Danio rerio: one gene and its partner. The main gene of each other region encodes a partner of the protein of the gene in region 2 in a complex. Links are inferred from orthologs where the notes say so. Each region holds a gene or a part of one and is shown on either strand. Other genes may lie near its edges.

Evidence for each region.
Region 1: mta1 (region 2) and cdk2ap2 share a complex: the UniProt entries of both Homo sapiens proteins name them as parts of the nucleosome remodeling and deacetylase (NuRD) repressor complex. The link is inferred for Danio rerio from reciprocal best matches to the Homo sapiens genes MTA1 and CDK2AP2.

Annotation. Positions count from the first base shown.
Region 1 is NC_133176.1:43,109,671-43,115,064, reverse strand, and holds the end of cdk2ap2 (cyclin-dependent kinase 2-associated protein 2), read left to right. Parts: intron 1-1,695; coding exon 1,696-1,816; intron 1,817-4,542; coding exon 4,543-4,610; 3' UTR 4,611-4,839; downstream 4,840-5,394. UniProt on the Homo sapiens protein: Acts as a component of the histone deacetylase NuRD complex which participates in the remodeling of chromatin.
Region 2 is NC_133192.1:39,467,445-39,473,964, reverse strand, and holds part of mta1 (metastasis-associated protein MTA1), read right to left. Parts: intron 3,632-6,520; coding exon 3,480-3,631; intron 3,182-3,479; coding exon 2,992-3,181; intron 956-2,991; coding exon 866-955; intron 783-865; coding exon 630-782; intron 1-629. UniProt on the Homo sapiens protein: Transcriptional coregulator which can act as both a transcriptional corepressor and coactivator. Acts as a component of the histone deacetylase NuRD complex which participates in the remodeling of chromatin.

The DNA of each region.
Region 1 (5,394 bases), on a different chromosome or scaffold from region 2:
CAATTTTATGAACAATTAACACATTTATATAGGCATTGGGGCATAAATGAGGCAGTGTATGTTTTGGTTTCATATTATGTTAAGATTAAATGTAAGTGTTCTTGTAATTAAAATATCCAAAACCCAGTAAAAGTGTTTTTTTGCTAACTTGTGTACTTGCTTTATCTCAAATGTTAAGTAGAAATTGAGAGAAGTGAGCAGTTTTAACTTGACACAACCGTGTCCAGTGTTGCCATGCTAATTATGTCATACATTTGGTGGCAAAGAGAGCTGAACGTGCTGCAATTTAAGAAACTACAAAAAACAAAAAAATAGCTATTACAAAAAACGGCAGCAAATTGAGAAAAGATCTTCATCGGTTTGACAGCACACGTGCTGCATTTTCGCACAACGCAAACAAATAATAAAATACGCTGCATTTTCACACAACGCAAACCTTTTACGACACAGTTTTTGGGTCACCTTGAAACATTTTCGTTGAGTCAAGTTTTTTGTGTTGTGAGCAAAATCAGTGCGTTTTCGTAAATTGTTTGAGTGTGACAAAATGCAGTGCGTTTTCGTATAAATTGTTTTATTGTAAAAAATGCAGTGCATTTTTGAAAACGAGTATGACAAAATGCAGTGCGTTATTTAAATTGTGTGTGACAAAATGCAGTGCATTTTCGTAAATTGTTTGCATTGTGAGAAAATGCAGTGCATTTTCGTAAACTGAGTGACAAAATGCAGTGCGTTTTTGTAAATTGTTTGAGTGTGTCAATGCAGTGCATTTTCGTAAATTGTTTACGTTTTGAGAATTCAGTGCGTTTTCGTAAATTGTTTGGGTTGTAAAAAATGCAGTGCGTTTTCTTAAACTGTTTGCGTTGTGAGAATGCAGCTGTTTTATTATTTTTTTTGTGTTAAAAAAGCAGTGCGTTTTTTATTTATTTATTTTTTTTTATGTTTGCGTTGGGAGAATTCGCAGCACAGCTGTCAAATGGATAAGGATCTTTACTAAATTTGCTTGCGAGTTTTGTAATTGCGCGTGTTTACTTAAATTGCAGCACATTGAGCTCTCTCGGCCACTGTACATATACCCTTGATTTATGTTTTGCTTTTATAGAAAACTGAAAATGACGGTCCTTGTTTTATGTCGCATATTTTATTAGACTAATCAGAGCAGCAGTATAACAGAAGCCTAAAATTTATTTAGTATGATAAAACTGCTGTGCTGCTTCACATGATCACAATTTGGGGGAAAAAAGGAAGAGGTTGACTGTGGCATAATAAAAGCTCCACTGTTTTTCTGCTATGTCGCACTCTTCTCTTATCAGCAATTGCTTGATTGCTTGGAAGTCCTAATTCCAAAATGTCATTTATTTCTTTAGAGGCAAAGCAGAATTTTCATTATCGTTATTTCAGTCATCAGTGTGACCTGATAGAATCATTTGTAAAACAACATAATTATTTAAAATATTTGTTTGAATATTAGTTTCCTAAACTGAAAGTGCAACCCATAATTTAACATTTTAACATACATTTGGATAAAGATAGCCAGAATGGCTTTAAATTCCCCTAAAATTCAAAGTATTGAGCCATAAATTATAAATCTTTTTGAATAATTACAAACTTTTGATTTGTAGTGTGTATTACACTTTTTTTTGTAAATAGGGTGTCACACAGACTTCCTCAACGGCTGTCTTGTTTTGTTTTTTGTAGCCGGTCAAAGTGTCCCAGGGATCTACCTATAGTGAGCTGCTCTCCGTCATTGAGGAGATGAGCCGTGAAATTCGGCCTACCTACGCCGGCAGCAAAAGTGCCATGGAGAGACTGAAGAGAGGTACTCCAAAGCCTTCTGAGCACAGTACAGCATGCAGCACATTTGTAACAGTCAGTGACGTTTAGCCCCCTGGAGTAATGTGAGCCTAAGGGCAGTCGAGAGAGTTGTTCTCAGTTTTTCAGTTCTGTGTTCGTGCAGTGTTGCTTTTGCCTGCTCTAAGAAAGGCTTTTGCATTTTACTCTGACTTATTGTTCCTAATGCTGCTTTGTGCCAAGCCTTATACACTACCTGACAAAAGTTTTGTCGTCGATCCCAGTTGTAAGAGTAAAAAAACTTGATCTCTGGTTGATCTTTTGGAAAAGTGGCAGAACATCGATTTCTTTTTTTTCAGATGAATCATGTTTTGAACTGCATCCCCAATCATTATAAATACTAAAGATGACCTATTGGAACGCGCTTGGACCCACGATTCTCTCAGAAATCAGTCTAGTTTGATAAAGGAAAAATCACGTTTGAGGTTATATTCAGTATGGGGGCGTGCGAGAGATCTGCAGAGTGGATGACAACATCAATAGCGCGAGATATCAAGACATTTGTGCTGCCCGATACATTACTAAACCACAGAAGAGGGCAAATCCCTCAGCAGGATAGCAGTCCTTATACATCAACCTCCACATCAAAGTTCCTGAAAGCAAAGAAGGTCAAGGTGCTCCAGGATTGGCCAGCCCAGTCACCAGATATGAACTTTATTGATCATGTCTGGGGTAAGATGGAGGCAGTGAATATGAATCCAAATAATCTTGATGAACTCTGGGAGTCCTGCAAGAACACTTTCTTTGCCATTCCAGATGGATTTAATAATAAGTTATTTGAGTCATTGCAGAGATGTAGGGATGCAGTCGTCCAAGCTCTTGGGAGTCACAATATTACATACACAATATTAATTCTTTATAATAATATTAATTTCTTACATTTATATAGCACTTTTCTAGACTCTCAATTGGCTTTACACATCGGTGGGGGATCTCCTCATCCACGACCCGTGTGCAGCTTCCACCTGACGCGGCCATATTGCACCAGACCACACACCAGCTGATTGGTGGAGAGGAGACAGAGTGATGAAGCCAATTATGATATGGGAATGTTTAGGAGGCCATGGTGGACAGACCACATGCTTTTAATGACCACAGAGAATCAGGACCTCAGTTTAACATCTAATCTGAAAGACGGAGCTCACTGAGCAGCTGCAGTATAGAGTCCCCTTCACTATACTGAGGCGTTAGGACCCACACAGACTGCAGGTTGAGTGCCCCCTGCTGATCTTACAAACACCTTTTCCGGCAGCAACCTAGCTTTCCCATGTGGTCTCCCATCCAGTTACTGACCGGGCGTAGCACTGCTTGGCTTTAGTGGGCGACCATGTGAGATTTGCAGAGAGCTCGCTGCTGGCTTTTTCCACTGCACCATGACTTTATATTCTATACTGGACATTATTTCTGTTAAGTGACAAGACTTTTGTCAGAGCTTATTGTCCTAATTAAATCATTAAAAATCAAGGCATGATCATATTTTATTTTGGTAAAATAAGTGTAATCTAGAGGCCTTTGCCTTTCATATAAGCCACTTCTGGTACCAAATGATCAACCAGAAGTCAAGTTACTATTTGTTGTTCCTAAAACTTGGATAAGCAGCAAGACTTGTGTCAGGTAGTGAAAATACATGCTTGGTGTTTAACAGTGATGGAAAAGGAGATTTATAAGACCTACAGGCCTAAAGCACCATCTGCTGTTAAAAATTAAGCTCAGAATTGCTTCCAGACAGAATTTCGACATATTACAAATATCTCAGAATTGATCCATGAATCAAACGACACCGATTAGTCGTCCCAGCTCCTACAGTTAGTTCTGGAATTTTTGCAGTCTGAAAACCATTCTGGAAAATGTATATCAGTGATCAATGTAACATGAGGATGCACAATGCTATCACATTTAAGCAAGTTGCATTTTTCAATCAATAACATTGACTAAGCAAATATTTAAATAAGTACATTAACACTAGTTTTAATGTCAAGAGTAAAGCTGTGGTCACACTAGAGTTTGTGTGTGCGAAATTCTGTCGTGTGGCAATGCGAAAAGGGGCGGGATTAAACAAGATGATTAGCCATTTAAAAAAGCAAGCGATTGGTCCATGTTTTCAATTCCTGTTCAAAGAGGTCATGTTTTCACTCTTGATTGGTCCCACGCAGTCAAGTGATGTGCTTTTGCAGGTCAGAGTTCACCAATTTTGAACTTTGCATTGCAGCGACCTGTAAAACTTGACGCATGACCCTGCGTTTCTGATCTGACGCATTCGCGTGCGTATGAATGGAAGTCTAAGAGGACGAAAGTCCAATGTGTGACCGCAGCTTAAGCGTACATTATTACTCAGGATTTGTTAACCCTGGGTAAATTGTGAAGCGTGTTCAATATTTCCTAAGTGTGTGAAAAGCCCTAGAATTTCTGTTAAGCTTTTGTACCGCCAGATAAATGAAGTCTGGTGTTTATCACTCATTTTTAATACAGTGTTAAGCTGTAAGGTATATATTGTGTTACTGTCGCTATATATTACGGAATAATTTTGACATGCACTGCCATCTAATGGCAATGTTAAATTTTCTGCATTTAAGACTTGTTATGAAAATATAAAAGCAAATGGCCTGACATTGCTCAAATTAATAATTGAGAGTGTTTTTATTATCATGAGGTTTTATTCAATGTGGCTTAATATGTGTTTGTGTTTTTCCTCAGGTATCATCCACGCACGTGCTCTCGTCAGGGAGTGTCTAGCGGAGACAGAGCGAAGTGCTCGCACATAACATCAACACACACACACATCCTCCCTCTGGTACTCATCTCCCCATTGTTCTGTCTCTCTCTGCCCAGCTATTTACAACACCATCTCTTTCTGTCTTTCTTATTGACCTTTGTTCCATTATGCATAGCCATCTCCCCGACGTACACCTCATGTAGTGTTACTGCGATTAGCATAGACATTTTTTAAGCCCAATTTTTGCAATTCTGTATTTAAATAAAAAACAAAATCAAGCATTTTGTCTGAATTTCAATTCCAGAGAACAAGTGTTTGTTTTAGAAAGGGAGATGGGTGATTTTCATTCATTTTATTTGGCTTTAGTCACGACGTACATGCAAAATATAGATAAAAAGCATTATGAAAATGTTTATTTGTAGTGACATATATATATAGGTATGACAATGACGGTTCGTTAACCACACAAAAACGAGAGAAGTGGATTCTTTGACGTGCTATCATCACAGTGTTAACAACGTGTCTTACGTCTTTGATTTCTCAACCTTAAAAAATTAAGTATACATAAACAATAAGGATAATATCACTAAAATAATAAACATGATAAATATAAAAGAATAACATGAAAATTGCAGGGTTACAGTTCAGTCTAGCGTTTTACTATCTTCGGATTGTCTTTCATTGTTGTTTCATTCAGACAGCCATTGGTCAACAGCACATTTAATGCACAGGTTTGAGTAATTCTTTCATCAGCTGTATTCAAATACTTATTATACAAATTAAGAAGGCAGTAAGCTGGTGTTCACCTCTTTTCCTGATTCATAGGAGTCTCA
Region 2 (6,520 bases):
GATCTTATTCTGATCTAAATAAAAGTTGTGCAATATAAATTGAGATTATTTTCACTGAAATGCACAGTAGTTGGAATGCCAGTATGGAGGAGTGTTTTAAAACTCAAAAGATAACACACCAGTGTAAACGTAGCCTGTGTTTTTGGGGTCTGATCTCCCGCAGGACTAATGATCCATGTGAGTCACTGCTGATCCGTTACCATGACAACCCTGAAAGCCATTCAGAGATTAAAGTAGTGTGTGTGTGCCAGAGTATGTGCACGCGTATCAGTGTGCACTTGTTTATGCTACACTGCAGGTTACGAATGTCACCACAAAGATGGAAAAACATGAGATTTTTGACATTATGAAGAAAAAAAAAACATTCAAAATGATGCTAATCTGAAAGAGAGAAATGCAAATGGGTGATCTGTAACGGGTAGGTTTAGAGTCTGCATAAAGTCCCCATAATTCACTGAAACCTAATGTGTGTGTGCGTGTGTGTGTGTGTGTGCATCTTATCGCATGGGGGTTGGTGGAGATTCTAATGGGAGATTTTAAGATGAGTGAATGAAGCATTGCAAGTAGAATAGGAAGAATGTGGGCAGCAAACACACACACACACACACACACACAACCCGATCGCTCACCATCCAAGCCGTTGTGCTGCTCGTAGTTGCGCTTGCCCAGGATGGTCGGCGAGCCGTTGTTGAGGATGGGTGTGGATTTAATGGGCGTCAGGCTGCCTGTGGAAATGGTGACTCCTCGTGGAGGGTCTGCTTTGGGCGGGAGAGGGTGCGCCTCTGGAAAAGGTTTTGAGAAGATATTATTAAAAAGGGATCGTTGATGAAGATCTAATTGAGTGTTTAAAGAGAGCTTCGCTTACCGAGATATCTAACCACAGACTCTAAAGGCTTCCTTACTGTCTGCTTTAGAGATGCAGGTTTTTTGGACATATCTGGCAACCGCACAGCACCTGGAATATGTAAATGAGAAAAATAAACACCATGTATTCGGACTAGGCTCAAATTAATATGGTAAATCAGTACAGTGTCAAAGAAGCATTTTTGTTCATTCAGTAAAGTGTTAAAAATGCTTCATTTGTTTACACAGAAAGACCTGAACGCACCTATTATGACAAATTAGGGCATCGATATCACAATGTGTGTTCTCTCAATTGTCACATCGCAGTTAATTTATAACCTGAGCTATTTAAGCCATCTGGTGAAACTGTATTCATATAGCAATATATATATATTCATTCCGCTGTGGCGACCCCAGATAAATAAAGGGACTAAGCCGACAAGAAAATGAATGAATGAATGAATATAAATACATATATGTGTGTGTGTGTGTGTGTGTGTGTACACACACACACATACACACACTGTATACTGCCGAAAAACTAAATATTGCAATGGCAGATTTTTCCAATAACATGTAGCCCTATGACAAAAAAAAAATTTAATACAGAAAGGCCATAAATATTAGTGTGTAATATGCTAATAACAATAAAAAACATTAATCAAATTTAGAATAAAATATTTAATAATCAATTATCTTTTTAAATAATTTGTAAAATTAACAATTACTGAGGACAAAATATCAGATAATTCTATTTCTATTGCAAAATTGAGGTTGTCAAATAGTATTTATTTCCAGTGATTAAAAAAAAATAATAAATCACCTTATCACCTTTTGATATTTTAAGTCCAAATTGTATAACATTTACTGATTAAAATATTTATTATAAGAGGCATTAAAAAATAACAAGCAGATGATTTCCCCCAACGAAATGAAGGCTGTCAAATATGCTTTTATTTTTCATATTTTTAATGAAATGTAATACTTCTTAAACTCATTACAACAAATAAAACTTAGTTTTTAAATACATTACATTACATTAAATGAATGTAAACAAAAGAGTAAATAATATATTTTTAATTTTTCCAATAATTCTAATATTTAAAAAACATTCATGAGCTTTATGAAATTATATTAATAAAACAGGACAATTAATATAAAGAATATAAAAATCTAATTTTTATATTAAATCTAATTCAAGCAAACTTTTAAATTCCTTAAATGTTGCTAGCAATTATAGAAAAACACAGGGATTTTCACAGAAAATGTATCAAAACAATAATAAAAATATATTTTTTTTAATTATAAAGTTCAAATTGCTAAATGTAATACAATTATGACCTCCTAAAATCTATATATATATATATATATAGACAACACCGGCATCGCGATCCTCCGCCCGCCCCCATTGCAAATTCGCTCACGAAAAGTACACACTCAGGCCCTGTTTACACTGTCTTTGTTTTTAAATGGCATTTTAGAACGACAACGATTTGAGATCCACAATGGCGTGTAGCATTTCTGAGCAGCCCTCCTTCCTCTCTACCTCTGACACACACACACAGACACAGACGCACACACACAGCCATGGGCTCCGAGACAGCGGGTTCAGGCAGTCAGAGGATTAGTAGACTGCTTCAATCTTTTACTCACTTGTCATTTTAGCGCACACCTCAGATACTGTTGGCTGGTTCCTGTTAGTTGTGCGTCTTTTTTACCGACGCCACTATAACGACACAGATCACTGCCTTTTCACGAGTCCCGCAGAAAAAGTGATTGACAGGTGGTAATTATGTGTGTATCTTGCCTTTATTCATTTACTGTATGATTTGTTTATGGGTAAAACAAAGACCATGCAGGTCAGGTAGTTTAAACGGTAGGCTACAAATAATTAATTGGTCATTAATTAATTAATGATTCATAATCGAAAATCGAATCGTGCCTTTAGAATCAAAAATGTAATCGAATCGAGGATTTGGAAGATCGTGACACCCTTAATATATATATATTATATATCTTAACAATTAGATTTTAGTAGTACTTTATAATTAGTTTTACACAGTTTACATCAGCTCATACTTCACACATAATTTCCACAATAAGCAACTGCATCTAATGAACTGAATCTTCAAATATGTGCCTACTCACACTCAGCTTTGATAGCGATGGTGTTGACAGGTGTGTACGGGTGTCTGGCCAAGTATTTGGATCTCAGCAGGTCCTGGCAGACGCGTCGAGCGGCTTTCGTCATCTGAGACGTGTGCAGGTAGAAAGCCTGCCTGGTCTTAACGGCAAACTTGGGGCTTCCGCTGTGTCTCACGGGCAAACCGTGAGGACTCTGAACACAGACAGAGATATGAAAGTCAAGCTCTTGCTGACAGAAGAATCTAAATACTGCATATCTTAAAGGAACGAACTCCACTTTAAACATAGATGAAAGACAGTTTGGCTCATTCGCTCTTTCAGGGCGTTCATTTAACAGTCACAAAGAGGTGTAATAAAACAGAATTGCACAGCAAAAGAGAAAACAGACTGAATAAAACAGACTTGGGGGCAGAGAGAGAAGAAGAGGATTTCATGTCAAGAACTGCAGCTTGTTTTTTATTTTTTTTGGAGAACATCCACTTTTCACCCACCATGTTGTTGCGGTTGGGTCCGGGCCGCTCTCCATCTAGTCTGGTTGGCATCTTCAGACCTCCGTACTTTTTCCAGTAGGTCCAGCAGGAGGCACAGAGTCGGCACTGCATGTTGGGAGGACCCCACGAGTACCACTGATACGAGCTGGTGGCTAAATATAAAAAAAAAAACAATAACACAAATTAAGATCCTTCCTACATCACTCTCTGCTCTACTCGCTGTAGTGTGAACCTTTACCTGAGCAAACATTAAAGGTAGGAAAGGCAAGGCAAACTTTATTTATAGAGCACAATTTTACACAACCGTAGTTGATCCAAAGTGTTCTACAACAAAATCAACTAGACAATAAAACAAAAAAAAACTGTTATTAAAAATACAAGGGAATGTATATGTTCAAAAGTAATACTAAAATAAAAATAAAAAATAACATGCATGCGTCACTCAAAGGCAAGAAAGTAAAAATAAGTCTTTAATTTAGATTTAAAAGCATCCAATGAAGGAGAAATCCTGATGTTTAGAAGGAGACTGTTCCAGAGCCTTGGGGTCGCAACACAGAAAGCTCGATCACCTTTTGATTTGCAGCGAGACCGAGGGACAGACAGAAGAAACTGGTCATGGGATCTTAATGGTCTACAAGCTGAATAAGGCCTAATAAGTTCACTGACATAGGCCAGGGCAGAATTGTGAATTGTGTATAGAGCAACCAAAAACTAAACCACTTGAGAATGAGTAAATAAGTAATAAGTAACTATTCACTTTTGGGTGAACTATCTATTTAAAGTAAACAGAACTAAAAAACATAAACTTAGTCTTAATTTTAAATTAACCGAAACAATCAGTGCTTAGGTTAATTTTTAAGATGGCCTGTAACTGAAAACATAAGGGTCGCACAATGGACCAAAAGCGGCGCAATTGTTGTTTGCTAGTTTCAGCTTCAACGTTTTGCCCCACGCTGTTTAAATAGCAATTGCGTTTGCGCTCTTATGTGCGACCATAGGCGTTCTAGTCTAAAAAAGGTTTTAGACCATATGGGGCATAGCATGTGTATTAGGATATAACTCGTTTATTGACCACACTTCGTTATTATTGGTCATTTATTTCTTTGCTGGAAATTAGAACCAAATTTAGAAGTAGTGTTGAAACAAATCTTTGAGCTTAACAAACTAAATTAATTATGAATAGGCTAATGGATGTCTGTGCGTGCAACATGTTTTCTTAGCGAAGGTAAAGAATGAGGAGGCTCATTCTCTCATTCTCACATGGCAGAAGAGCTGTTTAACTGTTTTCTCGTCATGGTGCAACGCAACTGAATCTTAAAGGAAATGGGAGAAGACACTCTAATTGGTTTATTCTCAAAACACACCCATAACTCATTAAGAGAATAAGTTCAACTCTGTTAGACCATGCACCGCAGAGAATTTTTCCATCCTTAAAATAGCAAAAGTGGATTTTGACACGTCCTCAATGCTTTTGCGCCCTGCGCTTTGGACTTTGCGCATGGATCGTCAAAATAGAGGACCAAGTCTTTAAACTGTCCACTTCGAAAACAAATCTTGCTGCCTTTATTTTTTTTAGTTGAATCAAATGAACTTTTCTAGTCATCTCAACCTAAATCAATTAAACTGACTAAAAATCTTAAGTTAAACTTTGTGGGTTTTAAGTTGAAAACTGACTAGTTTTCTAAAAAAAAGGTAACATTAAGATATTTGTTGTCTTTTTGTCAACTTTTTTTAGTGTACATACAGTATGCATTTATGCATGTTTATTCATTAAGTACACTGAACTTTTTTTTCAAGAAGTACTTAAATATTTGGTCAGACTTTATTTTGATGGTCCGTTTGTTGAATTTAAGTTACATTGCATCTACATGCCAACTAATTCTCATTAGATTATAAGCAGACTGTTAGGTTGGGGTTAGTGTAAGTTGACAAAGTTTCTTAGTCAGTTAAATGTCTGTTGAAAAAGCAGTATTAACAGATATTAAGCAGACAGTCTACTAAAACTCAAATGGACCATCAAATTAAAGTGTTACCAAAACTGTATCTTTTATTTCAGCTTAATATTATTTGTTTTATTTTTATAACTAATAAATGTTAAGTTCAAAACACTTATACTTGATTATGAGCTCAACTAAGAAATATTTTGACCAATGTAAAATTTGAAGGTTACTCACACAGTAACGACGTGTCCCACAGCACTATAGCCAGGTGCATAATGGGAAATGGTTTAGAGTTAGTTCATGTTATATTATTTAAAATATATCGGTTGTTTTATTATAAACGTTGTGTGTTCATGTTTGAGTTGGCTTCTGTTTTTTAAGCCCAATATTTCATTTATTTCTAAAATATTGACCATCACCATCAATGAGGGTAGTGTGTAATGCAGAGATGCCCAAATAAGGGCCTGCGGGCCAAAGTTGGCCCATTGTAACCTTTGATTTGGCCCACCATTCCATCTGAGAAGAATGGAGAGGATTGGGGTGAATGCTTTTAAAAAATGATCGTCATTTCTGATTGAACGTAATCTATTTTGTTCGTTTTATTGCTGAGCTACAAAAAAGCTAACTGAAATTAAAGTTCCAATTAAAAGCTGTAAATGAAGCAGATTTATTTATTTTTTTATGTAAATGATGTCACTCGACAGATAGAGAGCCATACAGAAGACACTGGTGAGCAAATCAAGACAAAAACTAGTGTAACTCCATTCTGTTGTAAATGAGATTGTTTTTGTATATACTGTAATAGGTTCATTATTAAATGTTAAAGAATTAAGCTATATTAGTTTATAAAACGCAACGCTTTCTAGTTATTTTTTCAAATATTATTCAATAAATTAGGAAATTACCAATGGCAACTATATTTACCTTCGGCCCACTGGCCTAACAGTCTTTAAAAAACATTGGCAAATGATTTATTTTTTATTGGCTAAAGTGAACAAATTTAGATGTGAAACCATTACCCTATTTTTTTTTATTGGAAGAATGAACATTTTATGGCAATTGTTGTTTTGATTAAAGCTATATCTTATTTTTTAGAACAAA